3 linked regions of the Canis lupus familiaris genome follow. The protein of the gene in region 2 interacts with the protein of the main gene of each other region in a pairwise test. Links are inferred from orthologs where the notes say so. Each region holds a gene or a part of one and is shown on either strand. Other genes may lie near its edges.

What was found. The genes of interacting proteins can lie anywhere in the genome.
Region 1: the proteins of FHL2 (region 2) and ITGA7 interact in a two-hybrid assay, tested with the Homo sapiens proteins (2 studies listed by BioGRID and IntAct). The link is inferred for Canis lupus familiaris from reciprocal best matches to the Homo sapiens genes FHL2 and ITGA7.
Region 3: the proteins of FHL2 (region 2) and ID3 interact in binary tests that used the Homo sapiens proteins (3 or more experiments, as listed by UniProt). The link is inferred for Canis lupus familiaris from reciprocal best matches to the Homo sapiens genes FHL2 and ID3.

What each region holds. Positions count from the first base shown.
Region 1 is NC_049231.1:457,129-467,106, reverse strand, and holds the start of ITGA7 (integrin alpha-7), read left to right. Parts: upstream 1-4,314; 5' UTR 4,315-4,503; coding exon 4,504-4,709; intron 4,710-8,977; coding exon 8,978-9,105; intron 9,106-9,204; coding exon 9,205-9,284; intron 9,285-9,978. UniProt on the Homo sapiens protein: Integrin alpha-7/beta-1 is the primary laminin receptor on skeletal myoblasts and adult myofibers.
Region 2 is NC_049231.1:39,046,259-39,056,209, reverse strand, and holds the start of FHL2 (four and a half LIM domains protein 2), read right to left. Parts: upstream 5,434-9,951; 5' UTR 5,293-5,433; intron 4,998-5,292; exon of another isoform or gene 3,903-4,997; intron 1-3,902. UniProt on the Homo sapiens protein: May function as a molecular transmitter linking various signaling pathways to transcriptional regulation. Negatively regulates the transcriptional repressor E4F1 and may function in cell growth.
Region 3 is NC_049223.1:75,270,534-75,279,457, forward strand, and holds ID3 (DNA-binding protein inhibitor ID-3), read left to right. Parts: upstream 1-4,431; 5' UTR 4,432-4,494; coding exon 4,495-4,794; intron 4,795-4,913; coding exon 4,914-4,973; 3' UTR 4,974-4,996; intron 4,997-5,521; 3' UTR 5,522-5,560; downstream 5,561-8,924. UniProt on the Homo sapiens protein: Transcriptional regulator (lacking a basic DNA binding domain) which negatively regulates the basic helix-loop-helix (bHLH) transcription factors by forming heterodimers and inhibiting their DNA binding and transcriptional activity.

The DNA of each region.
Region 1 (9,978 bases), about 39 Mb from region 2:
CCCCACCCGACTTTGGTTGAGATGGACACAAGCTTCATGGATCTCTGAAGAATGACTCTTGACATTTGAAATCTTTCTGCCCACATCTCCTTACACTTTCCCACCCGGATTATTTTTTCTTAGAATGAATGAATGCAACTCCACGTTCCCCACCTCACCCCTCCTCCCCATTTCCTTATTCTTTTGAGTTTCTTTCTGAGTTAGCTTTAGTTAATAAGCCCTGGGCCAAACATTAGGGCCGGAAGCTGCTGAGTCAATAAGGGTTGGGTGAGGACTGAAGGAGAACATGGAGAGAGTGGAGAAGGCTTCTCACACTGGGAAGTCTGGCTGGGTTTCAAGAGGGGGGGGGGTGCTGTTGGTGGTGTGGCCAAGTTCCAAATGTTGGCCTGAAGCCAGTGCTCAAAGAAAAGGGGCCCTCAAGACAGTCTAAATGGCTCCCTGTGGGAAGTGACCTCCCAGTCCTTCTCCACAAAATGCATGGGTTTCCCTTGGATCCTCAAAGATGAGAGCAGTCAAGTCATTTCCCCAGCGTCTGCTCTCAATCAGATTTATATTTTTTCTCTCCCAGCCACTCCCAGAGTTCAAGCTTTGGCTACAGCCAGAATTCAGAGGCAGGCAAAAGGATTCCAGTGCTGGAGGGGTGGGTGGGGTGAGAAAGTCCTCATGTTGTGTGTTTTGGGGAGGAAGAGGCTGACCCTGGGACATATGCTCCACAGCTCTGCTGCCAGATGAGGTGGAGGGAGAAGTTAACCCTGCAGTGTGTTCTGGAAGTGTTTGCTTGTAAGCTAGAGGCAGAAGCTGGAAAATGTGTAATCCGGGGAAGCTGAAAAACAGGGAACACAGATGGAGGCAAAGAAAGCTGTTAGAGGGGGAAAGGGCTAGAGAAAGCCTCAGCTTCCAATCAGATAGGCCCGAAGCCTTTGCTGGACTTGAATGTTAATCAGTTTTTTAAATTATTTTGAAATAGCTATAGACTCAGAGGAAGTTGCAAAAAATAATACATGAAGCCCTATGTACCCTTCACCCAGCTTCCCTCACTGGTGACATCTTCCATAACTGTAGCACAATCTCAAAACAGGAAGCTGACATACACACACTTTTAACTAGCTTACAGGCCTTATTCAGTTTTCATCAGTGTTTACGTGCATTCACGTGTGTAAGTATGTGTATGTGTGTGTAGCTCTATGCGATTTTATCCCTTTTGCAAGTGTATAGACTTGAAAACCTACCACCAAAATCAAGATACACATCTCTTCATCACCACAAAGGAGCTTTCTTTTTTTGGGTATGTATGTATGTATTTTATTTGTTAAAGATTTTATTTATTTATTAGAGAGCACAAGCTGGGAGAAAAGCATAGGGAGAGGGAGAGGGAGAAGCAGACTCCCCGCTGAGCAGGGAGCCCAGTATGTGGCTGGATCCCAGGACCCCAGGATCATGACCTTAGCTGAGGGCAGATGCTTAACCTACTGAGCCACCCAGGCCCCCCTGTTTATTTATTTTTTGAAGTATAATTAACACACCATGTTATGTTAGCACGGTGTAACGTGCTATCTTTTTATATTCACCTCCTCCCATCCCTGTCCCCTGACAATCACTAATCTGTTTGTCATCTCTATAGTTTTAATTGGTTTTAATTTCATGAATTTTCAAACTCTTAACTCAAATACAAGAAGTTCTCTGGCAGGTTGCTTATTCAAACATTGAGTTTCCTTCATTCTCCAGATCCTCTAGCTTCTTCATTCCGTGGCCCCCCTTCTTCTACAACATTGTGCCCCACTCCAACAATCTGGTCTCATTCCTCCTTTAGGGAAAATTGACATGTCTAAATTTACTAGGCTGGGCTAGGACTCTTGCACTCCCCCCTTCGCCCTCCTTTGCCCCACTATTTATAGCCAGGCTAATTTTGTGAGCCTCTCTCTCTCTCTCTCTCTCTCTCCCCACTCCTTCCTCCTGTGGTGGGTGAGATGACTTCTCAAATATTTGGGCAGAGGAGGTCAGAAGCAGATTCTTGGCATCTGATTTCAGCCTTGGATTTAGCAGGAGCCAGCAGGGTGGCGATGAAGGGAGGCAGAAGCTGCAGGTGCAGAGAGGAAGGCACCTGGGCCTCTAAAGGCATTTGACCCTGGTTGGAGATCTCTGTTCAGAGTCAGGAGTCCTGGGTTCTATCCTGATCTTATTACTCTGCATTCTCATATCAGCTCTACAGTCTGGAGCTCTGCGATAGAAAAGGGATGGAGAGGGCAGATCTGGGGATAAGAAAGGATCCTGGTGCCTGCTTGTTGGCAGCGCATGTGTTTCCTTGATAGCACCTATTTAGAGGCATGCTAGTCCCCTAGAGGGGATGCCTATAGTGTAGGTTGCAAAAACAGGGGCCCAAATCTTTAAATGCTTAGTAACTTGCCCAGGCAAGGGTTGTCCCAGGGCCTGCAGAGAGAAAGCCTACCTTTTTGTGTGTTTTTAAAAGTATAATCTTGGGGGAGGTGAGTGGGGGCAGGGGGTGACTGGGTGACGGGAATTAAGGAGGGCACATGATGTGATGAGCACTGGGTGTTATGTGCAACTGATGAATCACTGAACTCTACATCCGCAACTAAGAATGTTCTACATGTTGGCTAATTGAATTTAAATTAAAAAAAGGGTAATCTTGGACAAAGAAGTAAGAGAGACAAAAGGGGCATGGGAAGAGAAATTAGGTAGAGTGCACTGGAGCTTTTAAGAAAGGGAGGGAGGAGAGAAAAAAAGTATATTTTAAAGATTTCATTTTTAAGTAATCTCTCCACCTAGCACGGGGCTCAATCTTAGAACCCTGAGATGAAGAGTCGCATGCTCTACCGACTGAGCCAGAGGTGCCCCATGAGAAGATGAAACCTTAAGGATAGGAGAGAGAGAGTTGTAGGGACAGAGACATTAGAGACATTGAGAAATCATCGGAGAAGGGTTCCAGGTGATAGAGACAAGAAGGGGGACAAAATTAGAGTTTGGGAGGAGACAAAACCAGATAGAGAGGGAGAGGAAAGAGGACAGGTGGATATACACAAGACCAACGCCCAGGGAGAAGGGGAGGTGAGAGCAAGAGAGGTTCCAGTTGTGCCAAATTATTTCCTATCTCTCCTCCGGGCCCCATTTCTGGATTGGAGTTATAAATAGCAGAGGGTTGGAAAATGTCCCCCCTCCCTCTGCTTCTGTCTCAGCCTGACGGGAAGGGAGAGGAAGAGGGGCAGGTCTGCTGGTCCCGGTGGAGATCCTTGCAAAGCCCCACCCAGATCCCGCCTGGTGCCGACTGGGGTGCACTGCCTTCTCCATTCCCTCCCCGTCCGAGGGTGGGAAACGGTCAGTTCAGGGAAGGGGCCTGAGAGCCGAAGACAACCTTTCCATGTCTCTGCCTCTGGGTCCAATCTTTTTCATCTTTGCCCTTGCTCTTCTTGGACCCCTCACTCCCTTTCCCCAGCTTAATTGATTTCCTCTTCCTGTATCCATCACTTCAGTCATTTTTCTTTTCTCCCTTCGTTCCATTCCTTTTATTTATTTATTTAGGCAAGTTCTGCGCCCAAGGTGGGACTGGAACTCGCCATCCCGAGGTCAAGAATCGCTGGCTCTTCGGATGAGGCAGCCAGGCGCCCCCTCAATTCCTCATTGATCAAACTCTCGCTCTTCTTTCTCTCTTTTCTCTTTGTTTCTACCCGCCTTCTTTGCTCTCCGCCCCAGACCTGCTGAATTTCTCTCTCCTCTTGTTTCTGTCTTTTCCTCGGTTCGCCTGAATGCTGGGGATGTGGCTAGCACAGCCGTTGTCGCTGCCGGTCTCTGGGTGGGATGGGACCGTTTGATTGGAGCAGCGCGCCGGGCGCCCTACGCGACCCTGGAGAGAAGGGAGCGCCAGGACCACACAGGACCCTCCCCTTTCATCTCGCGGTCGGCCTCTCCCCCCAGCCTGTCCTTCAGCCTCCCGCACTTCTCGTTTCTCACCCTCCTTTCTCTTTTTCGGTCTTTTTCTATCTGGACTTGTCCTCTCTGTCCCCGTTCTCGGGCGCCGCCCTCACCACTCCCGGGCTTGGGACGGAGTAGGGGGAAGGGCAGGAGCGCGCGGGCGGGGGCGGGGGCGGGGGCGGGGGCGGGGCCGAAGCCGGGGGTGGGGGGGTGGCGGGGGGAGGCGGGCGGGCGAGCGAGGCCGGTTCCCGCCCAGGGTCGCCAGCCTGGACACCCCTTTGCGACGCCGCGAAGTCTCCACCTGCCGCGCGGGGGCGGGGCCGGGGCGGGGCTCCCGGGGCCGGGGGCGGGGAGGCGGGAGCCGGAACGCACGCCTGGGCTGCGGCTGCCGCAGTCGCCTAGCGGGTGTTGGGGGCGCCGGGCGGCCTGGCGGCGGGAGGGGGGTGGCGAGGAGAGGGACTGCGAGGCCCCTTCAGACCTGCGGGACTCGAGATCGGAGAGCCGCCGTGGGAGACCTGGGGCTCCGGCACCAGCGAGTGTTTTGCGCTCGTGGGGAGCGCGCCCAGCGTTCGCCGCATGGCGGGGGCTCGGGGCCGTGGTCCCTGGGGGCCGCCCGGGATCCGATGCCTTCTTGGCTCCCTGCTGGCCGCGCTGCTCGCCCCGGGGGCTGTCGCCTTCAATCTGGACGTGACGGGCGCCCTGAGCAAGGAGGGCGAGCCGGGGAGCCTCTTCGGCTTCTCGGTGGCTCTGCACCGGCAGCTGCAGCCCCGACCCCAGAGCTGGTGAGTCACAGCACCCGCCCAGGGTCCCCGTGCCGAGCCACACATCCCTCCCCTTCCCCATCTCTCCGTTTTTCAACCCCACGTCGACTCAGGCTGTCCGTAGATAACCCGCACTTCAACCTTGCCTCCTCGGTCGCGGGTCCGGAGGCGCGCCCTCAGGGCCTGAGATCAGGGGCTTGCTTTGGGGGTGAGTTGGAGAGCGAGGTTCCTTTCTTGACGGGGAACTCTCTCCTTTTGCCTTTCCCCCAAACTTGCATCCGTGCTCCAGCCCCGGGGGTCTGTGACTTCCCCTCCTTCAGAGGACTGGATACTGTCAGGAAGGGGGACTGGACTTCTTGTCTCCGCTTCGGGCAGGAGGAGAGGGAAAGGAGAAAGACGTTGAAGACACCATGGGAGGGATGGAGGGTGGACCCCAGAAATAACCTCCATCAGAACATCGCCATGGCATAGAGGGAAGACAGGAGGACACTGGAGGCCAGGAGAGCCCTGCCATTTAGTTCTGTGACTCAAGAGCATGGGAAGGTTGGAAGAGGACCTGGGAGACTATGGCAACCTGTAGTAGATGATTTGATGATAAAGTGGCAGGAAACAGAGCCCCCAAAAGTTGTAGCAGCAGCAGCAGCAGGAGTGAGAGCGAGATCCAGGACAGATGCTGGGCCAGCTTGTTCCCCTTCCTCCTCCTCAGGAAATTGCCAGGTCTAGGAATCTCAGCAGTGGGGGAAAGCAGGGAGGAGTGAGGGGCAGAGAACCATCCTAGTTATTTTCTGATCAGTTCAGACGCATGGGAGATGGGCACATGTGTGTGGGGCCTGTGTCTGTCATGTTTCCTGTGCTATTGGTTCCTGCTACACGTATGATTTTATGAAGAGAGACAAGGGGAAGAAAGCTTCCCACCCCCTCCTGCCAGGGGGCTTTGCTTTCCTAGGCTAGGGCCTAAGCCACACTAAGTGTCCATTACTGGGATCAATGCCGTCCACTGGGATTGTCTCCTCCCCGGCACTATTGGCCTGAGGGCAGAGGCTAGGGACAGGAGCTCATTTCTCTTCCCTCCCGTTCCGTTCCGGGAGGAGAGGCTGGGTCTCAATTTTTCTTCTTCCATTACCCCTGTCATCAGGGAGCATGGTCAGTGGTTCCCCCAAACTTTGGGAGAGATAAAAAGCAACTGACTTCATTTCTTCTTCAGTCTTCTATCTGCTTCCTACCCCATCTCTGCCTCCCTCCCTCCCTTCTTCCCCCATCTGCCAGAGTTCCAGGACTGGAGGCCTTTTTAGGACATGCTGAACTCTCTGAGCTATTTCCAGGCAAATTCTAGGTTATTTTTAATAGCTTGGTCTCTTGTTATTTCCCCCTCCTCTCTGAAGGTGGCCCCCGAATAGGTCTCCCAAAGCCAAGCTGGGGGCTTTCCCAGAGGAGCCTGACTGCCTAAGCCTGCTTTTGCTCCAGCAAGGGGTGCTGTGCTGCCTGGTGGCATGTGAGACACCAGGTTCCTTGCTCAGTCCCTAGCTTTTGAGTTGCAGGTCACCTTCACCAGCATCCACCCATTGAAAAGCCTCACCCATTTTGATGTCTTTCAGTCTTGCTCTTGGATGAGACTTTGATGTCAAACCTTCTTTGCTCTGTGGTTTCAGCCTCATTTGTATCTTCCAACTGTAAAATGGCGTTAAACAGTAGGACTCCCAGATAGAGTGGTTGTGGAGTTTAAGAATTCTTAGTATATATAAAACCATTAGAATAGCGTAAGGCCCAGAGGGAGTGCTCTGGAAGTGTTAGCACTGTTATTCCCGTATCATGTCGTGCTCCAAAGAGCTAGAGAATAGCTATAGCACCTTGCTGCAAGCCTGGATCCAAAGGCTTGGCTAGATCGCCCTGGCTGAGTCAGCTTTCAGGCCAAGCACCCTCCCCAGAGGGCCACCCAGATTGAGAGTCAGGGAGGGCAGGCCTCGGTCAGAGCCTTCGAGCGCATGCAGAATTGAGAGGTGCAGTGGTAGTGGGCTACTCCTTTGCTTCCACTTAGCTAGGCTCTCAGGGAATCCCTCTGCCCCCAGCTGCTGACACGCTCTAGCTTTTGTCTGCAGTGGCTACAGCTGTGGCTCGTGTTCTGTCCAGAGGCCTGGGTGGCTGGGGTTTGTGAGACGAAGCCAGAAAAGTGTGTGGCTGGGGCAGAGGTGGAGGGACTAGAGAGGCTGTTCCAGGGAGGGCAGGCTGGTCTGTTCCCCACTGAGAGTGAGGCTGGGCATGTGTATGCGCCAGCTCCTTTCCTCCCTGTGGAACCCTTCCCTCCACTCTCCTCCCTACTCTAGACCTCTAGGGGAGATGTGAACACTGAGCGCTGATTGTAGCTTTTCCTGGTGCTTAGCTATGAGCTGACCAGGCGAGGCAGTGGGTGTGCCTGTGAGCCCACATAACGTGCATGTTCTACAGATGAGTCCACATGCATCCAACGGGGCAAGCACAAAGATGAACAAGGGAGCCTCAGTCCTCCAAGAGATGGCCATCTCTGAGTTTGGAGGTGTGTGTTGGGGGTACTGCGGACTTGTCTCAAGATTGGCCACGCCACCAGGTTTCCTTTTCTGTGTGGGATACCCTCCCGTCCCCTTCCTACTGGTTTTGTTTTTTGTTTTGGAGTGGTCTCGGTATTCTGGAGATGGCTCATCATTTGGTTGCATATGGTGGAAGATGCATGGGTTTTGAAATTGGGCAGATGTGGATTTGAATTCCAGCATCCTTCTTAACGTGTCTCAGTGAGTCTCCTCATCTGAAAGACACGGGAAGAATCCTCACATAGGATTGTTGGGAAGCTTAAATGAGAGAATGCATGTAGGTTGCCTAGCTTGATGCCTGGAGCATAGGCAGAGGGTGACAAACGTTAGGTCCTCATATCCCTGGCATCTAGCCTAGGGACTGACCCACAGTGGGTGCCGAATAAATGTTACTTCCTTGTCTCACCAGTGCCTGACACAGGGCTTGGCAGGTGATAGGGTCTCAATACACAGGCTGGTAATGAGTGCCAACCGACCATGCCCGCTTCCTTGCCACTCCCCGCCCCCTCCTCTCCCTGGACACTGGCTCTGACGCGGGATGACAGCTGCTAAGAGACCAGAGCTGTGGGAAGGGAGAGTGGCTCTGTGCCCTCCCCTCCCCCTCAGAACTGGCAGAGTACCCCATAGATGCCTGTCTGCAATATTGTCTGACACAACTTTGGGCCTTGTCCCCCAGCAAGGGAGACGGAGGAAAGACTGGGACAGAGGCCTTGAGGTTTGCCCTGCGTCTACTTCTGAGTCCCTCCTTCTGTGGAGAGAGATCCTTGTAGTCAGCTGGGTGCCAGTCACCTCACCTTACCCCTTCGTTCGCTCCCAGCCTGGGGCTCAGCCCCAGGGGACCCAGGCAACCTCCATTCCCAGCATAGTCCTCCCCTGGGGAAGAAGCCTTGGCTGTGATCATGGAAAATTGTCCTGCCAAGAAAGTTCTAGCTGGGAAAGTGTCTGAGGGGGAGGTAAGGGAGAGGATAGGGTTGGGGGCAGGGAGGGTGGGAGGAATGGGGAAAATCATGGATGTGGGGAGGACAAGGAACAATGGGGAAGGGGATTCAGGGTATGGGCAGAAAAATGGGGGTAGGACTGGAGACAGATGAGAAACTTGCCCCTACCTCCATGCCAGCTGGAGTGACTGAGACAATCCTGGGTTGGCAGTGTTGCTGGGGGGATGGGGTCTCCGTTGGGTCCCTGACGAAGGGGAAACAGGCCCGGATCTAGCCTCTTCCTTGGCTTCTGAAGCTGGTGCCTGGACCACCTCGTGGTGCCAGCCTGGGACGCTGTTACTTTTGCTCTCAGCATTCTTGGCATTTCTGGGTGGGTTCCAACTGGACTGGGCTTGGGGAGGAGGGCAGAGCTTGGGGATGGGCCAGGACGTGGGTAGGGAAGGCCTGGTCAGGAACAGGTGCTGGGAACAGGCGGTTCTTTCAAACTAGCTGTGCTGGCCAGGCCACTTGGTTTGGCATGTGTGCACACACACGTGTGTGTGTGTGTGTGTGTGTGTGTGTGTGTCTACAGTGCGTGTGGGCCCTCATCCAGGGCATATGTGTGTCTGTGCTTATGTAATGTGATGATTGCATGGTATTAATTTGCCCTTGCCAGGACTCAGGGAAATGGACTTCCAGCGCTCCTCCTTAGTTCTTCAACACTCACTTGGTTGGGAGGGGCTGGGCCTGAGCAGTGCTGGGGAGGCACAGCACTCCGGCTGCTAACCCCTGCCCCTGCTCCGCTGTGCAGGCTGCTGGTGGGTGCTCCGCAGGCCCTGGCTCTGCCCGGGCAGCAGGCGAATCGCACCGGAGGCCTCTTTGCTTGCCCCCTGAGCCTGGAAGAGACTGACTGCTACAGAGTGGACATCGACCGTGGAGGTGTAGACCCTGCAGGGTTGGGGGCGTGTGGCACAGGAAGGGGAAGGAGAGGACTTGGCCTCCTCTTCCCTCTCCTCATTCCCACTGTCCTGCCTCTAGCTGATGTGCAGAAGGAGAGTAAGGAGAACCAGTGGTTGGGAGTCAGCGTTCGGAGTCAGGGACCTGGGGGGAAGATTGTCGTGAGTACCACTTCTTGGGACTGTGTGCAAGGTGTGTGTGTGTGTATATGGCACAAACCATATGTCCCTGTGCTCAGGTGTGCTTGAGTGTGGTACGATGGCCTGATTCCCAGGACCAAAGTTACAAGACACAGTATGTGTCCCTACAAATTTAAAACCATCTAACCGTCCATCTGTCCATTTGTCAAACTCTTTTTTTTTAATTTTAAAGATTTTTAAAAAAGATTTTATTTATTTATTCATGAGAGACACACACAGAGAGAGAGGCAGAGACACAGGCAGAGGGAGAAGCAGGCTCCATGCAGGGAGCCCAATGTGGGACTCGATCCCAGGACCCTGGGATCACACCCTGAGCCGAAGGCAGATGCTCAACCGCTGACCCCCCAGGCACCCCCATTTGTTAAACTCTTACTGAGAACCTTTTAAGCATCAGGCTTGTGCTAGTTACTGAGACACGAAGTGTAAAGCCTGGTCCAGGGCTCAAAAAGCCGACCGCATCGTTATGGAGACTCATTCTCTGTTTCTCTGTATCATCACTGATATGCACAAACACACTACTGTGAGTCGCGGTGCGCAGAATGTGGCCAATGTTATGTGAGCAGTCCAGTCCCCAGTGCGTGAACGTCCAAGGGAGGCGTGGAGAGAGGGTGGAGGTGTCAGGCAGCCTTCGGAGAATGAGCAATGCTCCCAGCGC
Region 2 (9,951 bases):
TCTTAACACTTCTTATGCCTGAATTAAACACACCAGTTCAGTCCAGGAAATATTTATTAGGCAGCTGCCGTGTGCAAGGCACCATGCTTATGTTCAGGGTATGATCAAGAAGGTTACCACTTTGCCCATGCTCTTGAGAAGGTGCTGGAAGTAAGGGAAGAATTTTAAAAAGAAAAATAAAGGGTAAGTGGGAAGCAATCACTTTTATTTTTCAAAAGGATTTTATTTATTTATTTGAGAGAAAGAGAGCAAGAGAGAGAGCGCAGCAGCAGAGGAAGCAGCAGAGTCCCCGCTGAGCAGGGAGCTTGTTGTGGGACTTGATCCCAGGACCCTGGGATCATGACCTGAGCTGAAGGCAGACGCCTAATAACTGAGCCACTCAGGCACCCCTTTTACTCTCATTTTTAAGATGAGGTTCTTTCTCAATGGTGGAGACTTTTCCAGCAATCTCTGATCAGATTCCTGGCAGCCCTGGCCCCATCCTGCCTGGGTTCGGCTTCCCCATCTGCTGGTTCTGAGCACTTCGCTTCTCAGCACCTGGCTGTCCTTATCTATAAGCCAGGAAACCAGGAGCACTCCTTAAAGAGCTGCTACATGGATCACAAGAGCATGTGCATGTGTATGCACGTGTGCACACACGAGTAGTATTCACTACAGTGCTGGCCCAGGCAAGTGCTCAGACATCAGCTACCGTGACCTCTCTGGCCCAGAGTTTCATTCAAAGAAGAAATTCCATTTAATTCCAAATGGAATTAAAATTCCATTCTAAATTTGGAATTGAAATTAGTCCCAATTCAGATTCTTTACAGAGGTTTGTTTTTCCTTTTTTTTTTTTTTTTTTTTTTTTTTACTTTGGAGAGCCAGGACACCTCTTCATTTCCTCTTACAAAATGTGGGCTTATAGGAATGTTCAAAGAGAACAAAGAGCAGCATTGTCCCTAGAGTATTACTGCTACCCCTCCCTGCCCGATGCATACACATTTAGCTCATCTCGTACCCGTAGGACACACCTTCAGTCTGCGGTTGAATCCCATTTGCTCCCATCCCTGTATCGTTCACATTCTTCCCCACCTGTCTGTGCTTTCATAATTCCTTACTTCCTTTCAGCTCCATACCTTTGTCGGTGTAAACTTTACCCATCCATGTCTTTCCTACAGGAATATCGCCCACCATTCCTACAGGATGCATGCGTGCCATTCAAACACACTATTCATTGCATATGGCCTGAAGATTGCTTTTTTTATTATTCTAATGCCAACCAGAAGGTCCTTGAAGCCAGGCCAGTTTGAACTTGGTTGAACCTTCTGCAGGGGATAACACTGTTCTAAGTCAGTTTCCTTACCTGAAAATAATAATAATAATAATAATAATAAATAATAATAATGCCTGTAGGGTGGCTGGGAATGTTATATGAACTAATACTAGTTCCCAGACAAAGTGCTCAGTCAATAAATTATAGCAATTGTTTTTTGAAAAGCTGACCCTAGTGGCTGTTTATTTATAGTTTTTGTAATAAGCAGCAGTAATTAAAGTGCTTTATTTTTGCATGGATTTTGCAATTTAAAAAAAAAATCCCATGGTTAGTATCCGTGTAGGAATTTAGCAAGCTATTTAAAATGTAGAGAAAATATAAAATTACAAATAATCTTACAAGAAACAATAACTTTGTATATTTTAGTATATTTTTTCAGGATGTATATTACACAGTTAAGAGCATATATTATACATATAGGTTTGTGTTTAAAAATTAAAAATTCTTTGCAAATTTTATTTTCAATTATTGTATATATTTAATACAATGGCTGTATCACAATTTTTTTAACCAAATTGTATTCGAGCAGTTGCACTAATCATTTTAATGGATACATATATGTTGTCATATAGCCCTGTCTGCTTTCATACTATCCACTTTGTTTTACTACAAGGGATATGAATTAGAAGTAGAATAATCAACATCATGGATTTTTCTTTTTTTGTGTTCATGCTAAACCATAGACTGACATCTTGAAATTAGTCTGAGACCAGGCAGAAAGTGCTCTGGTGCCTCTTGCTTCACATTAAAATAATCAGTTCCTCCTGCCTCTTCATACACCCCTACCCCCCTTCCTGCTGATTAGACGGGTCCCAGGCAGGGAAAGAAGGCTCACTTCCTAAAGACCAAAACGAAATTCTCACTTTCCCCTTAAAATCTAATTATACGTGCCTTCTTAGTGAAACCCGTGGAGTGTATTTTATGAGTCTTTGGCTTGGTATGGTTTGCTTTCAGTGTAACTTTTCAGTATTTCCTTTTTACTGTAAAAGTATTCTGTTAAAATGAATTTTTATTCCTCTTCTCTCTATCCAAAATTTATCTTTTAAATTCAACAAAGCCCCAAACTATAAAAATGTACTCAAAGTTAAAATTGATCTTTGCAAGCTTACACTTAAGATAATTAATGATATTTATGAAATACATCTGTCAAATATCAAATTGCTCAGAACTTATGTTAGTTCCTTTCTATTTTTCATCCTTATTTGGTATATTGGAGACTAAATGATAAAAGGCTGATGAATCAGTGATAATGAGGAAGAAATCAGCCAAATAAACTTTTAGGGGTCATGTAGATCAAGGCACAAGATGGTTGTGTATTTTTACTATTCAGTGGGTTGCATTAGTAGTGTAGAAATTAGCATATTGCTCATTAGCTCCTGCAGGGAGCCTGCTTCTCCCTCTGCCTGTGTCTCTGCCTCTCTGTCTCTCATGAATAAATAAATAAAATCTTAAAAAACCCAACTAGTTATATCCTGATAAAATTGCTTATCTAAAGCTTAATTTATGTTTTTTTTTTAAGTTTCCATCATTCTAATTCCCCATCATTATAAGTATTTGAATATTCTGGCTAAATGAAAGAAATCACAATGTCATATAAAGATAACTAATTTCAAAGAAATAAAGTTTGAATGCTTGGTGAAAGGACATTGATCATAAATTTAACAAAAAGCAGATTACCAAATGACCTGATGATATATTTTTTTCTTAATTAGAAGTTATAGTTCTCCATATAATTTATTGTTTTCAGATGCATCCTAAAATACATCAATGTGGAGTGGTATATAGTGAGAATTTCCCCCCCCCACCTTTTTTTTTTTTTATTTTATTTATTCATGAGAGACACAGAGAGAGAGGCAGGGATACAGGCAGAGGTAGAAGCAGGCTCCATGCAAGGAGCCCAATGTGGGACTTGGGATTCTGGGATCACACCATGAGCCAAAGGCAGACGCTCAACCACTGAGCCACCCAGGCGTTCTTTCCTTCCCTCTCTTGTAAAGCTAGTGTTAAATTAGTGGCTCATCTCAAAATCAAAGACTTCTTAGAATCAAGAAATAGGATAAACAATAAATGTAGTAAGACCACACATAATTTTTCATTTTCTTCTCTCTGCTGGTCTGTATTTTCTGGCATATATTTGTACAGTAAGATACAATGAAAGAAAATATAAACACTATGAATATAATTTCACCTCTTTCTTTGGTGGTGTTAAAAACAGGACAACAGGCCCCAAATGGAGTCACTTATATTAAGCTCCACGTCACCAAACACACCTAACCTAAGTACAATTTTGGCCTCTTCCAGTAATGGAATTTTAAAGCAGTCAGAACTCACCTGATGAGCATTAGTTAGGTCATCTGCCTGATAGAGCCCTGTCATCCTCTAAAGGAAAGTAATGTTGGAATAAACAGTCCACTTTTTTTGTCCCATGTACCTTCCTAGTTCCTGTTCCCTTCTGTCTGTAAAGGTCTTCAGTTTTGTACACACTGCACAGCCCTTTTCTGTCTGCTGGGTGGGATACTGCCCAATTGATGAATCATTGAGTAAAACCAATAAGATCTTTATAATTTATTTGGTTGAAAAAAATTTTTTTTGACGGTGGGGAGAGGACAATTTAAACTCAGTTTCTTGGCCATCTATTTTAAATCTGAAGTATTTTAGACACCAGTAGACTATGTAGGTCCCTGTGTTAAGAGCTATCAGATTACAGAGAGAAATATGACGTGGCCTAGCCTCAGGATCTGGAACCAATGGAGAACTCCAGAAGCACTAAGTGGGATGAAGAAATCTAATAGTGCAAAATGCATTCAAAAACAGGCAAGATTGAGTGAGCAGTCAGGGAATATTTTAGGGGAAACTATGCAACTCTTCATGAAGGTTATACATTGAAGCATTTTCTTAATATCAGAAAAGGCCTCGAAAATGTAATTGTGTGAGTTGAGTAGCTGGCTACTGCTTTAAAGACAAAAACTCTCCTAAGATTGGATGGATCTCAAAATGTAATAGGTTTGATTACAGCACATCATGTTATAAACCTAGCAATAAAACAAAATTCAAATAGCATTCCTCAAGAAACAAATAAATAAAATAAAACCAGAACAAACCTATATAGAGCAAGTCCATGATAAAATAACATCAGCCAATAACGCAAGTGTTAATACTATCTTTTGACCTCAGAATTATTTTTAAAAAATGGCCTGGTAATATCTCTTTTTATTGGATTAGACCTGATAAGGTGCCTTGCATGGAGTATGACTAGAGGATGTTAACATGTATGACACCTATTATCAGAATATGCCATCTTATCAGTGTTAACATTATTACACAATTGGCCCAAGCATTACTCAATACTGTGCATTTGCTCACATCCTGCTCTAGAAATTAGTAAATTAGTAAAATGTGAATGCATTTCCTTTAAGCACACAACAGCTATCTGTACTTTGGAACCGTCAGCCGTAACAAGTCATCTTGTATAAACATACTTTCCCAGCCTAATCAGACTCCTCAGTAATTTGCCTCCTCACCCCAGGCCATCCGGAAATTCTGTCAAGGAGAAAAAGCTCCAGGGCACTGTGGTTTCCCCCCTCCCAATGTTTATTTTATACTTTTTTTTTTTTTCTTTTTTCTTTTACAAAAAGCTTCCTGGTGTTCAAAACTCCGTGTAGTTCCTGTTTCCCCGTCTGAGAGGGTAAGATGAACGGAGGGTTCCCTCCGTGTTCTTTCTACTCCCGGAGGCACCTGCCGTGGGTTTGGAGCAGCGGCCAGGGCCAGGTTCTGTTCCTTCCCCACAGCCCCGCAGCCCCGGGCAGGAGCTGGCTGCAGGCGGGGGCCCGCTGCCAGGCCACTGGGGCTGGGTTTGGGGTCTGCAGGTGCACAGTGCCAGAGAGCTCCCTCCCGGGGCAGGAGGCCGCACAGCTGGCAGCGAAGCCTGGGAGGACACAGGGCACAGGGAAGGAAGGGGCCCCGGGGAGGAGGAAGCTTACCTGTCCTGTCGTCTGCCCTCGGCGAGCCCAGGGGCCAGTGGGGAGGCAGGGCCCACGCTCGTGGGCTGCTCCTGCAACTGTGTGTGCAGCTGCTGGCCAGCTGCCGCCTCGTGTCAGCAGGGCTATAAATAAGGTGCTGTCCAGAGCCCAGAGATAAGAACCCAGCCCCTCGCTCCCGCGAGCCTTTTAAGGTATCCAAATTAAAGGAGCCTCGGCCCCCAGATGGGAAGGGGTGCCAGCTCCCCATTTGGCCTGCCCACCTCAAGGACACCCTGGGCCTTGCACACAGTCCAGCAACCCAAGGAGGAGTGAGAGGGGAAAGCCGAGCGCTGGGAGGGATCTCGCTTGGTCAGACAAGTGGTGGAGTCCCTGGGGGGCTGCAGGGGCTCGGATGCTGGGAGACCCCCCCACCCCGAGATCAGGGCCGGCGCTGTGGTACAGAAGGGGGAGGAAAGTCATCCAGGCCACACAGTGCCCTGGGGTGTGCTGTGGGTTGTCAGCGCTGCCTCTTGCTAGGAGCACACGGACCCTCTTCCCTGGCTTCAGGGGTATTGGTTTGGGTGAAAAAGATTCTAGGGGAGATTCTAAGGGATCGGCTTCATGCTGGGCACGTGGGAGGCCGGGAATGCAGTCTCCTTATAAAGGCCCTCTCTCCCCATTCCCACCCCCCACTCATGCATGATTGGGGGGATTCTTGGGCCACAAATCATTTTCTTTATAGAGCTAATGCAGAAATCTTATGGAGCTTTTTTATTTTTATTTTTTAAGATTTTATTTATTTATTCATGAGAGACACAGAAAGAGAGGCAGAGACACAAGCAGAGGGAGAAGCAGGCTCCCTGCAGGGAGCCCAATGTGGGACTCAGTCTGGGATCCCAGGATCATGCCCTGAGCCAAAGGCACCCAACCACTGAGCCACCCAGGGCTTTTAAAAAAACCATATGCTAGAAGAGGTCAGAGAGGACTAATCTGGGGTAGCAATAATTCCTGATTCACCCCTAAATTTCTTAATTCTGGGAGGCTTTTCAGCCATGGCTGGGGTCAGGTGAAGGACAACTGAGGTCAGCTGTTTGGCAGCAGCTGTCTGCCATATGACAGACATTCCACATCTGGGAATTTATCCTAAGGAAAGGATCGTGGATGTCAGCAGAGATACAGCTCCAGGGACATTTCTTGCAGGTTTTTTAATAATTGGGGAAAGTTGGAAACAACCAAAATGACTAACAACCGAGACTGGTAAAATGAGGAATAGTATAGCCATGAAGGAAACACTGCAACCTTTGGAAATGTCATAGAAGAATATTTAATAACATAGAAACAATATGATGACATGTTGGTAGTGAAAATGCAGGTCACTTTAAGGGAAACTTGGTGTATGTGTGAGAAGTTACTATTGCACATATGCTGAAAGGATAGGCATCCAATGAGGGAATGTGCTTATGGCAGGGTGATGAGATTATGGCTGATGTTTTTTCCTTGGCTTATATGACATCTCTAAAATGTACACAATGATCTTTTATTGCTTTTATAATAAAAACATTGATTTCACTTAAAACTTAAGTTTCTGGGGGCGCCTGGGTGACTCTGATTGAGCATCTGTCTTTGGCTCAGGTCATGATCCCAGGCTCCTGGGATAGAGCCCACATCGGGCTCCTGCAGGGACCCTACTTCTCCCTCTGCCTGTGTCTCTACTTCTCTCTCTCTGTGTGTCTCTCATGAATAAATAAATTTTTAAAATCTTTTAAAAAAATAATAAATAAATAAAACTTAAGTTTCTGAAAATCAGAAGAGAGTTTTCTGTATTTCTGCATTAATGGTCCCAAATTTGTTTTAGGATCACAGAATTCCTTGGGGTCTCTTCACTTTAGAAAGACCTATGTTGGAGTCAGCAGCCTTTTTTTTTTCATGCCAATACCAGCAATATGACGTAGAATGCTAATAGAGTCCCTGAATGCCCCTGTCAAGGCAAAGGTAAGTCAGGAAGAGAGAAAAAAAAAATGCATAGAGAGAAAGAGGAGTCCAAAACTAAGAAAATTTATGTACTAGAGGCAACAGAAAATGCCTATACACTCAGATCGCCTTTATCTAACCTAACATATCCTAATTTATACTCTGGCCAGGACATAACAAAGGCTCTATGTGTATTTAAAGAATATGTATGTCCTGAAGATGCCTTCCTTTTTGATTATATTTGACTTGGGCAATGACCTCCACCCCTGACCGTGTGATAGGGAAGCACCCACCACTGAGATGTGTAATTGGAAGAGGGGCTCCCCTCCCACTGGACTCCCAGGGTTACAGGTACAGAAAGACCCTAATGCTCTAATGGCTTCTCTTCCACGTGTAAACAGTAGAGGGGGGTCCCCTCCATGAATAGGACCTGGTGGATAGCCCGCAGTGGGGTAATCTCAAAGCTTTTGTGTTGAGTTGCTGTTCCAGGAATAGGCTCTGTATCACACACCACCCAGGGACAGAGCCTGGAGTCTGAGGCTGAGCAATGCTCTGGACTCTTCTTTGGATCTTTAGGTGCCAAAGCTTTTCTTGGATGGTCTCCCTAAAGCCTCATCTGTGTTAGCTCTAACCAGATCTCAGCTGGCATGTGTCCTGCAGACATCTGGTGAGAAGGGTAGCTTCACCTCGGGTCAGCCCCTGTATGGGGCACAGGTTCCCTACACAGGGGAAGAGGCCAGTGCAGGAAGGGCTGGAGGGGCTTCCTCTTGGAGAAAGCCGCGCCTGGGGCAAGGCACGGGAGTCAAGGCTGGTGTATGGGCTCAGCAGCCCAGGGGCTCTCCCTTGAACTCCAGTGAGAGCTGTTGGAAGCATCCCCTGTGCTGTTCTCCCTCCTCCGCGCTGACTCACTACCCCCCCTTCAGAGGGGTACGCTGCAGGCACACAGCCTTGGGGTGGGTGGGACATGACGCACCATGCCTGCTGACAGTCACCCCCGGAGCAGGCATGTGTGGGAGGGAACAGCATCTGCTTTGGTGGCTGTGACCCACAATCCGGGCTGTGGTCAGGACTAGATGTGACATGCCGTATGGGATGTGGATGTGGCACTGGCTTCTCTTCCACAATATCACAGAGAAAAGGCTGACAAGTTTTCTTGAACCTGTTTCCCAAGGGACATGTAGGTCTGGAACAGACATTTCAATTCAATTCAGCAAATAGGCATTGAGTTGACCCCAGAACCCAGAAACTGGTAGGCACAGGATAGCAAGAAGACGGAGACCCCCAGATAACCTGTGAGCTCTAGGAGCTTGTCCCTGGCCACCAGCCTTGTTGAGGGCACCCCACCAGTGCCGGCATCTCAGCTCCCAGGCCCATCACAAGGCTTTTGCCCACGGGGTCATGAAATCTCATTCATCCATCAGTATTATTCATTTAAAAAAAATTCGCTGAGGTTCTTTCATGTTGCAAACACCATGGCTAGATCCTGGAGCCTCAGCTCTGAACAAAATAGAAGAACCTCACATCGAGGAGCTGACAGTCTGTGTGTTGTACTCACAACATTGTGCGAGCCTAAGCCCCTGACCTTGAATCTGGAGCATCTTGCCCTCCCTGTCACTGTAGATGCCATTTACTATTGCTGCCTCACAGTCATCACTGTCACCAGTGCTTCTTGCTTTGCATTGGACAAGCTTAATCTCTCTGTGAAGCTGATTCTGCTACTCTTGGCACCTACCACCCTCCCTGGGATGGGAAGGCACAGGGAGTCTCTGCACCTGCCCCTAGCCTGAGGGAGCTAGTCTCTTTCACCCCACACAGATTTTTTCCCCTGTTGGATTAGTAGATTCTGTGACAGAGGAAGATGAGCTACTCAGGGAGCCAGAGAAGGAAGAGTAGATCAGGAGTAGATCAGCTCTGAGTGCTGAGGCCAGAAATCTGGAGAGAACAGTTTCCAGAAGGAAGATAGAACAGAATCAACTCTTGTAGGCTGGGAAGAGCAAGGGGGAAGCGGAGCCTGTTTTTCTGTACTGAGAAGTCCTCAGACGCAGAGGCAGCGTGTGTCCGGGTGCACCAGACGGTGCTTTATGACATGTGCTGCCTCCGCAGTGTTTATCCACAGAAGCTGAGACGACGAGCCTGATACTTGCTTCCGTGTCCTTGTTTTCAAATGAATACCTTTTGTGATCTAACTACTCCATTTGCTATCACAGAAATCTCTACATAAACATTCCCTCTGCACTTCCCCGAGTCATAAACAGGCAAGAAGGGCTGAAGAAATGTCCCATAGTGTAAATATGTCTGCAAACAGCTCTGGAAAGTTTCAACCTGTAAAATAGCATCACCATTTGTTGGTGTGATAGACTCCAGGCCTGTCTTCTTTTTTGAACTTGACTTACACTGAATGAGTTTGGGTGTTGAAAGAAACCAAGTTATCCAGTCAGGAAGCTAACTCCGTAATGACCGGGGTCTCAGGGTCCTGTTAGCTAGCACATGTGCAAGAAGAAAGCACGTGGGGGCCCTAGAACCAGCCTGAGTTTTCCTCAGCTAAGATCCCCTGGATCCAACACATCACTCTGCTTCAAGACACATGACAAAAATACACAAAAAATGCAGCATAACAGTATGCCAGCAGGTTGGCATTGCCCCTGCCTTTCAGTTTCTTTCTCTCCCTCAAATTCCTATCAGATCTGCTCTTGGAATCTTTATTCCATG
Region 3 (8,924 bases), on a different chromosome or scaffold from region 2:
TAGCACCAAGTACTTCTTAACTATAGAGTAGCCTATCTTGGAGACTGCTGAAATACCCACCCCCATAAGGACTCAAGCCTTGCATCTCCATGCTTCCTACAGTCCCCTTCAGGGTATTACCCACATTCCTGAGAACAGTCTCAGCAGGAACCATTAAACTCACCTGGCATCACCTATTCTACTCACCAGGGGTGCATCACACCGTAGCACAGAAAAATAACTAATTGGTTCCCACAGCACTTTCCAATCCTCCTCCCCTTCGGTCCTCCCAGCTGAGGTAAGTGGCTATCATTTTCCTCCCCATTCTACAGAAGACACAACTGAGGCCGAGTGAGGGGAAGTAGTCCATACAGGAATTTGGAGGCTGGTCTTGACTCTGAATTCCCTGGGGTTTCCTTGTATCACATGAGTCTCAAGCAGCACTTTGAGGTCTAGCCTCGCTGAGGGGAGAAGGAGCCGTTCTTTTTTTTTTTTTCCTTTATTTTTTTTTTTAGAAGTCCGTTCTTATGTGAATGGCTAGAAAGTGCTCAGCACACAGTTACAGGTACTTTGAGAGCAAACAGTTACCTATTAGGAAATGCAGCATCTGGGGGTCTTCTGAGACCACAGCAGGCCACTGTAATGCTAATGAGGGCTAGGGAACAGCGTGGACAGGGAGCCAAGTTAGGGGAGGTCAGGGTTCTGCCCCCCCCCCCACAGCTGACATCCCAAGTAACCTTGGGCAAGTTTCTGAGGTTTCCTTGATTCCAACTTTACAACATAAGTGGGGAAAAAATAGATAGGTAGATAAATAGATAGAAACTCAGTTTAGGCAAAAAGACATCTGCAGTTCTCATCATCATTACTTTGGCTTTGAAAACGACAGCTCAGAGACCCCCCACCACTTTTTAAAATTTTAAAGACAAAACAGTATCACTTAATGGTTCTGCCAACACTTCAAAAAATCAGAGAACACAACACTGAATTTTTTTTTTCTCTTCGTCTTCTTCTTCTTCTTTTTTTTTTCTTTCAATTTTGGCAAAGGAAGATTCAGTTCCTGGAAATGCTTACAAAATGATTCCTGACACTGGGAGGAGATAGTTTAAAAAGGAAGAAGGAGATGGCAAAGAAAAACTACATACATATAGAGATCAAGGAAGAAGGTGGAAGGAAAGAAAAAAAAAAAAACAAAAGGAAGAAAAGAAAGAACCAAAAGAGGGAGGGAAAAAAGACTTTGAAGGGCCCCAATTCAAGGAACGTTATCAAGTTCCCAGCATCTGCAATTCACCAGCCGCTCTCGGGTCGGGGAGGCGCAGACCCCGCCCCTTTCTCGGGTGTCGGGCGCCCATTGGTGGGGGCGGCAGTCGCCGACCGGTGACTGCCCGAGGAAAGGTTGCCTGGGACACGCATCCCTGTGTGAACGCATGACGTCCCACCCTGGCGCCAGGCTGTCTGGGGCTGAGTCTTAGATCAACACAGCTGTGGGACCGGGACCCACAGCTGGGCAAAGGAGCGGATTCCTCAACAAAAAATAGGATTGTGAGAAAAGTTCTGAAACAAAAACAGCGCAGACAAAAGCCTTAATGACATCCTTTCATAAAAATAAAAAATGCAAGAGGGGGGAAAAAGCTGGTAAAAGGAGCAGAACTGGGAACAGAAAGTTCAGAGGCATTTGGAATAAGAGGCTGAGGCCCCGCCACCACTAAACTAGTTGCAGAAGGCCCGAGCTAGCCCCTCCAGTCTGCTGTTGGAAAAAGAAGTCTCTAGGGTTCAAACTTTATTCAGTGTCCCCAACCGTCCCCTGCTTCTTTCAGAATTAGACTCTTAGGTTGGAGAGGACCCCTAGAGGTCTTTTGCACCCCTCTCCCTCCCCCTCCCCGCCCGGTCCCCCAGTTTTGCAGAAAATTCTGCCCAGGAAGGAAGGAAACTCGTCCAAGGCCACATTGCAAGTTATTGGCATGGCCAAGAGAGAATCTGCTTGCTAATCCCACTGCATCCTTCTACTGCCTTGTGTCACACAGCCCATGGGCATTTCAGCCTGAAAGCATCTTGGGAAATAGTAAATGTGAAGATGCTTTGCAAACAGGTACGCGAGCCTGAGGCATCAGTGGTAGCAACAGAGGAGGGGAAAAGGCAAGAAGAGAACCTGTAGGGACCTGTGGACTGAACACCTAACACACACCTGGCCCCATGCTGTGTCCCCAGGCACTAAGGAGACTACCAGATCTGGTGGAAAGAGCATATGTCAAGTGCCTTGCAGAGCAGAGGCATGCAGTAATTATTTGTTGAATAAATGAGCTAGATCTAATTAGCCTTCGTTTTTATAAATTGGGAACTTGAGGCATGGAGAGTTGACTTAGTTCAACATCATTAGTAAAAGAGAAGAACCGGGATTTGAACATAAATCTGCCTGGCTCCAAAGGCCATGATTTTTCCAGAACACCCTCCCCCCCAACCCAGGCTTGACCATTTTGCACAAACCACGGAAGTCTGCGTGATAGAAAAGGAAAGGGTTTTCTATTTGGTCACTCAGGAGTCTGCGGAGCCACCATTTTCCTTTCCCATGACCAAATAGCTGGCATTCTCTTCTTCTGACGTCTGTAGCATTTATAGACTGACTTGTGCACTTACAGGTTATTTTCTTCTTCCTCATGCTAAAAAGTATAAGAAACTTGGAAACATTAACATTCTAGGGAGAAATCTTTAGAAGACCCCTTTCTTGGGACACAGAACCTTGTGTGGTATGATGGCAAACAACGGGACTTCAGGGCTGAGTCTACCATTAGCTGTGGTGTGACACTGGACATGTTTTTATAGCCCCTCTCTGAGCCCTTTACTACCCCACACCTGCCTGTCCAAATTTCATAAAGCCTTAGATTTCTAGTATTGGGAAGGATTTAAAATAATCACTTAGCACCATCTCCCCATATTAGTCACAAGGCAACAAAGGCCAGGGTAAATGGGCTTGTTCAAGATCGCATGGCTATGTGGATTTCCAGTCCAGCGTCCTCTCTACCATTATTATTTTGAGATTCTCCTAGCTCTGAGCTCCCATTGTCCTTTTAATTAGTGCCACATACTATAGAAATCTTAATTGTTTCCTGTGTTAATCTTGTCTCCCCAAATTGTGAGATTCTTGAGAGCAGGAGCCACTGTTCTGTGTAAGATGACTCCATAAATATTTACCAACTGATTGATTTAGGAAGCAACCATTGGGGGAATCCCACCTGGTCAGTTCCAAGATGAAAACCAGCATTTTGAGGCTGCAAATTCCCAAAAGTTCTGGGAAGTGACAAGAAGACAAGAATACTGAGTGCAATGTCCTGTTGCAATACAGGGCTTAGCTTCCCTGTTCTCTGATCCCTTTCCTGGGCTCTCAGATAGAGCTGGAGCTATTTCAGTGAGGCTAAGAATAATCAAGTCCAGGTGGCCCTACCCTTCCATAGCAGAAAGGGACAGACAATAGAGTGATGAAATTACCAAACTATTGTTTTCTGCATAGAGGTGTGTGGAAAGTGTGGGGTGTGGGGGGATGGCAAAGCAAGAGTTAAGAGATTGACCCCCCCCCACGGGGGACCCCTTGAAAGATTGATACAGAAATCATCTTGTCTGTCGCCCCATATTTAAAACTCGGTCTAAGATTTTAATCGAACTCACTTCCAAAACACAACTGGCAAATATTTGGCTCCTTATGGAGCGCATGGGGCCAGAGGGTGGGAGCTCCTTTCTCTCCCCATGCAAAAATCACGGATTCGGCCTGCTTTCTTCTTCTTCTTCTTTTTTTTTTTTTTCCTTTTCCCCTGTTGCTCAAATAGTGTTCTTTGCTCAAACCCCCTTCCCCTCCTCCTTCTGCAATCTCAGCCCTAGCCCAAATCTGTTTTCTTCATTGTAAACTCAGCTTCACCGCAATTAATTTTTTTTCCCCTCTGGTCACAAGATAATTCCTGACGCCAGTGAGTCTGGAGGTCAGACGAACAGCAAATTGGGGAACAAGGCGGCACTAATTCCTTACAAGTTTCCCTTGAAAAATCCTTTGCTTTAAAAAAAAAAAAAAGCTTCTTTGCTGTTCAGGGATTTATGACCTCAGAGGAGCTGTGGGTTCGAACTAGTGTTGGGCTGTGGGTGGACTGGCAGGGGGCAGGGGAGCTCAAAGATCTGGGGCGCTGCCAGGAAAAGGCAAATTCTTAAAGTTAATGGTTTTAAGTGATTTTTTAAAATCCTCGCTGGCAAAGAGGCCTGCCTCTCCCCAGTATCAGCGCTTCCTCATTCTTTGAATCCGCGGCTCCGCGGTATTCGGCGTCAGACCAGCCGGAGGAAGCCTGTTTGCAATTTAACCGGGTTGTGAACGCCCAGGGCTGGCGGGGGCGGGGCCGAGGCGCGCGTTTTGCATAAAGGGGCGTGGCCCCGACCGGGCTCTATAAGTGGGGCCGCGGCCGGCGTGCGCGCGTTGCCAGCTGCTGTCGGGGCTCCCTGGCTCTCCTGCTCCTCTCGGCACCTCCGGCCTCACTCTGCAATATGAAGGCGCTGAGCCCGGTGCGCGGCTGCTACGAGGCGGTGTGCTGCCTGTCCGAACGCAGCCTGGCCATCGCGCGCGGGCGCGGCAAGGGCCCGGCGGCCGAGGAGCCGCTGAGCCTGTTGGACGACATGAACCACTGCTACTCGCGCTTGCGGGAACTCGTACCCGGAGTCCCGCGAGGCACTCAGCTTAGCCAGGTGGAAATCCTGCAGCGCGTCATCGACTACATCCTCGACCTGCAGGTGGTCCTGGCCGAGCCCGCCCCTGGACCCCCCGACGGCCCGCATCTTCCCATCCAGGTGCGTGGGGGCGTGCGCGGGAGGTGGGGCGGGCTCGAGCTCCGGAGCCGGGATGCTGCTTGGACTCCTGAAACTCCCAAACGCCGGGCATCACTTTACCCTCTTTCTCCTCGTCTCAGACAGCCGAGCTCGCTCCGGAACTCGTGATCTCCAACGACAAGAGGAGCTTCTGCCACTGACCTGGCAGCCCTGGCGCCTCCAGGTGAGTCTCCCCGCCGTCGCCCAGGGGGTGGGGGTGGGGCGGTGCTTAAAGCGACAGATCTTGGAACTGGTTGGCCTTTTAAGCGATTATTGCCATCTCAGTTTGGGGAAAACGGGGCGAGGGAGGGGCGAGAGTGGCTTAACCCTCGGTTCCATCAAATGAATGACAGAACCAATTCCCATCCAATGTGCGTTTCCACCTTCCGCGCGCTTTGCCCCTGCCCTCCCCCAGTGACCAAAGACAGGGGGAAAAGTAGGCGCAGGTAAATAAAAGAGCCGTTCTGTCCGTAGTTGGGAGTGTAGGCTTCTCCCAACTAGTGTCAATTCCAAGAGGGCGGGGTGGTTGCAAGCTCCGCCTGTGGTCCTTTGGCGCCAACTGGGTGGGGGCAGCTTAGGGCTCGGAGTTATCAGCTGGAGGTAGAGACCAAGTTTCCTCCCTGGCGCCGGGCAGTCTGCGGACGGCCCCCGCCTCGGCGCGCTCGGCGGAAACTGATGGCTCCCTGGTCTTCTTTCCTCCCCCGCCCAGAACGCAGGTGCTGGCGCCCGTTCCGCCTGGGACCCCGGGACCCTCTACGGCCGGAAGCCCGAGGGCATGGATGGGCCCCAACCTCGCCCTGCCCACTTGACTTCCCCAAACCCCCGCCTCGAGGCTGGACCTGGCGCCCGGGAGCGGAGGACTGTGAACTTGGGTGGCCTAAAGAGCCAGAGCTAGCTCTGGGCACCAGCTGGGCAACATCTCCCAGCCCCCACCCCACCCCCAAGTTTTAAAGACTGTCTTTCACAGTGTGGAGTTGGGGGGGGGAGTGGCTGCTCTCCAAAGTCTGCCAAGGCAGCAGTAGAGCTGGTCTTCTGGTCTCCTTGGAGAAAGGCTCTGTTGCCCTGATTATGAACTCTATAATAGAGTATATAGCTTTTGTACCTTTTTTGCAGGAAGGTGACTTTCTGTAACCATGCAATGTATATTATTAAACTTTTTATAAAAGTTAACATTTTGCATAATAAACGGTTTTTAAACACTTGAGTATATGAGTATGTAATTTGTTTCCTTAAATGCTAATGCTCTCATAAGGCTGAATGTAGGGGAAATATAGATGTCCTTCTTGGACCTTGGGAAAAGCAAACTTGCTTATTAAAGGGAGATGGAAAAATGTCAACTAAGACTGGGGGCGGGGGCAGTGGAAAGAGCTCCTGCTTGGGAGCCTCATATCCATTAAGGGTGGGTGCAGAGAAGATCCTGGCCCTGTCCCCTCATTTTGTGGATGAGGGGAAGTGACTAGCACAATCTCACCCGGCAATTTGGGGGCTCGGGATAGAAATTGGGTCTCCTGAGTCCCAGTTTCTTAGGTCCCTTAGCCGTTTTGCTACATTACCCGATGGCTGTCCTCTTCAATGTCGTTAATTATTCATGTCTTTCTAGCAGGGGATGTGGAAGAGTGGCGTCTCACCTGGTGCCCAGACAGGGGTGGTGGTTGATAGACCCATTTCAGAGATGAATAAGCAGATCAGGGCCTGGTTTCATTTCCCTCCTCATGCTCTCTGGTTTGGCTTCCTCTTGGGCTTCCAAATTTGGAAAAAGAAAAAACGGGAGATGGGTTTTTCTCATCCCTCAAATCCCCAGCCACTCTGATCAGAATGATTTGGATGCTGTTTGGGGAGCACTAGTGTACCAATCCCTCTTCTACCACCAGGTAATTGGAAGACTGAGCCTAAAGTGGGAATTTGAAGCAGCAGCCCCACACCCCTCATTCCTTCTGATATTTCCTTCCTATAGCACCTCCATTGGGAGTCTACTCTGTGAACATCTTTATTTCAGAAATGGAGAAACTGAGGCTCAGTGGATAATGGGTCTGGGCCAGCTTCTTACAACCCCTTGAGAGAAAGATGGGATTTTAACCCAATGACAGTGACTACAAATGTAGTGGAGAGCCTAAGACTGGTCATCCCACGGTGCCAGGTCCAAGAGTGGGGCAGAGGGCAAGACCCCCAAACCACACCATCCCTCCTTGCCCCCCACCAGGCAGCTCCCCAGGTGGGCTCCACCAGGCTCCTGGCCTCACCAGATTCCTGTTTATGATATGAGCTCATCTGTGTTGGCCCCTGGCATGAGTTACTTCAATATTTCATAACAAACAGGTCATGTCATCACCCTTCATGCTTTAACCCTGGTGAGCTTTCAGGGGTGAACAGGGGCATGTGGTGGGGAGGCAATCTGTCTTTGCCAATCAGCTGACCAGCGATTCCTAACCTGTTTTCCTGGCTTCCTCTGATGTTCTAGTGGAAGGTATGCGCACTCCAGAAAATATATACACATACCTTTGCAGAGTGTTAGCAGACCTCTAATCCCCTAGGAAGTCCTCAGCCCCCATGTGAATAACTCCTGCCTCAAAACCAACCTGCCTCCCAACCTGGGTCTACCTTGGTTTGTTTTGTTAGGTGTGCTGTGCTGGCTCTGGTGGCAGCCATGCAAGGGTGCAAATTCTTGCTTTATCACATCCTAGCTGTACAATGCAGGCTAGAGACTGCCTCCCTTGACCCTTGGTTTCCACATCTATGTAAGATTGCTGATCCTGAGCCATCTACTCTGAGGCACCTGGCCCTACACGAGACCATTAATTGCAGGAGAGCCAGGCACTGAACTCTTCATCCACCCTTACTGCCACAGCATGCTGCTTCCTGCTCACTCAGAAGCTGTGGGACTGGGGACGGCTAGAAAAGAGCCAAATGGCTCATCTGCCATGTGACCTTGAGCAAGCCACTTTACCTCTCCAAGCCTCTCTCCTTCCTTTGCCCGACAGCTGGCAGTTCTCTTACAGCCTTCTCCCTGGACAGAAGATAATGGTGGGAAAGGTCTTTGAAATGCATCACACACCTACAAGGTATTATTAAGCTAATTCCAAGGAAATTGCCTGTCAGGTCTGCTGAGACTGAGCTCTTCAGGTGGCTGGGACAAAAGCTGAAACCAGGATGCCAATTCATTAGTCATTAGAGAGTGAAAGCAATTTGGCCGCGGGTCGGAAAACTCTCAGAATGAGGATAGTGTCGTCTGTCATAATCACCTACCGGGTGCCTGCCAGGTGTCAGGCTCTGTTTTATCTTAATTTTTTTCTAATCCTCACCACAACTCAGCAAAGCTGGTATCTTTATTCCCATTTTACGTAAGAAACTGATTCAGAGAGGCTGAATAACTCGATGCAGGTCACACCGCAAAGAAGTGGCACAGCAGGAATGAGTAAACCCAACTCCACGTAGCTTCAAAACCTATTCTCGTGTCTACTCCAGGACAGCTCTCCTCCCTGGCCATTCCCTGCACCTGGTACCTGTGCAGTCCCCAGTGGGTGCTTGCTGAATGAAAGACCCAGGGCCATCGCGGGGTCCCTCTCCCTCATTTGTGATTGGGGTGATTGATGGTACTTCTGTTGCAGGTTTGTGACGCGGATTAGAGGTAACGCGCGCAAAGGAAGCATCTACCAGGTTCCCCGAAACACAAGATTCACTATTAACTGTCTTGCTTCGTGATCGCGTCGACTCTGAAATAGGCACCTTTGGAAGAGATTTTTTACTTTGTAAATAAAACAGGACAGGCAGGCTCAGAACGGAGGAAGGAACTTGCCCGTGGCCACACGGCTCCTAAGCAACAAAGCAGGGATTCAGATCCATGCCCGTGACACCGGGGACGGTGCCCTTGAGAGGAGGCCGGTTACAGGCGTCCCCAGCTGGGGATGCGCCCAACAACCTTCCATTGTGCGCGTTCCCGGCCTCGTCTCCGCTCCCGGCCAGCGCTCGCCTGCGTCGCCCCGGGCTCCGCGCTCGGGCCTGCGGGCGCTCGCTCCTGCCCGCCCCGCGGCCGCCCCGCGCCCTCCGCCGGCGCCTCTCGCCGCAGCTCCTGCGGCCGCCGCTCGCAGCCCGGGCGGGGGCGGAGCCTGGGCCCC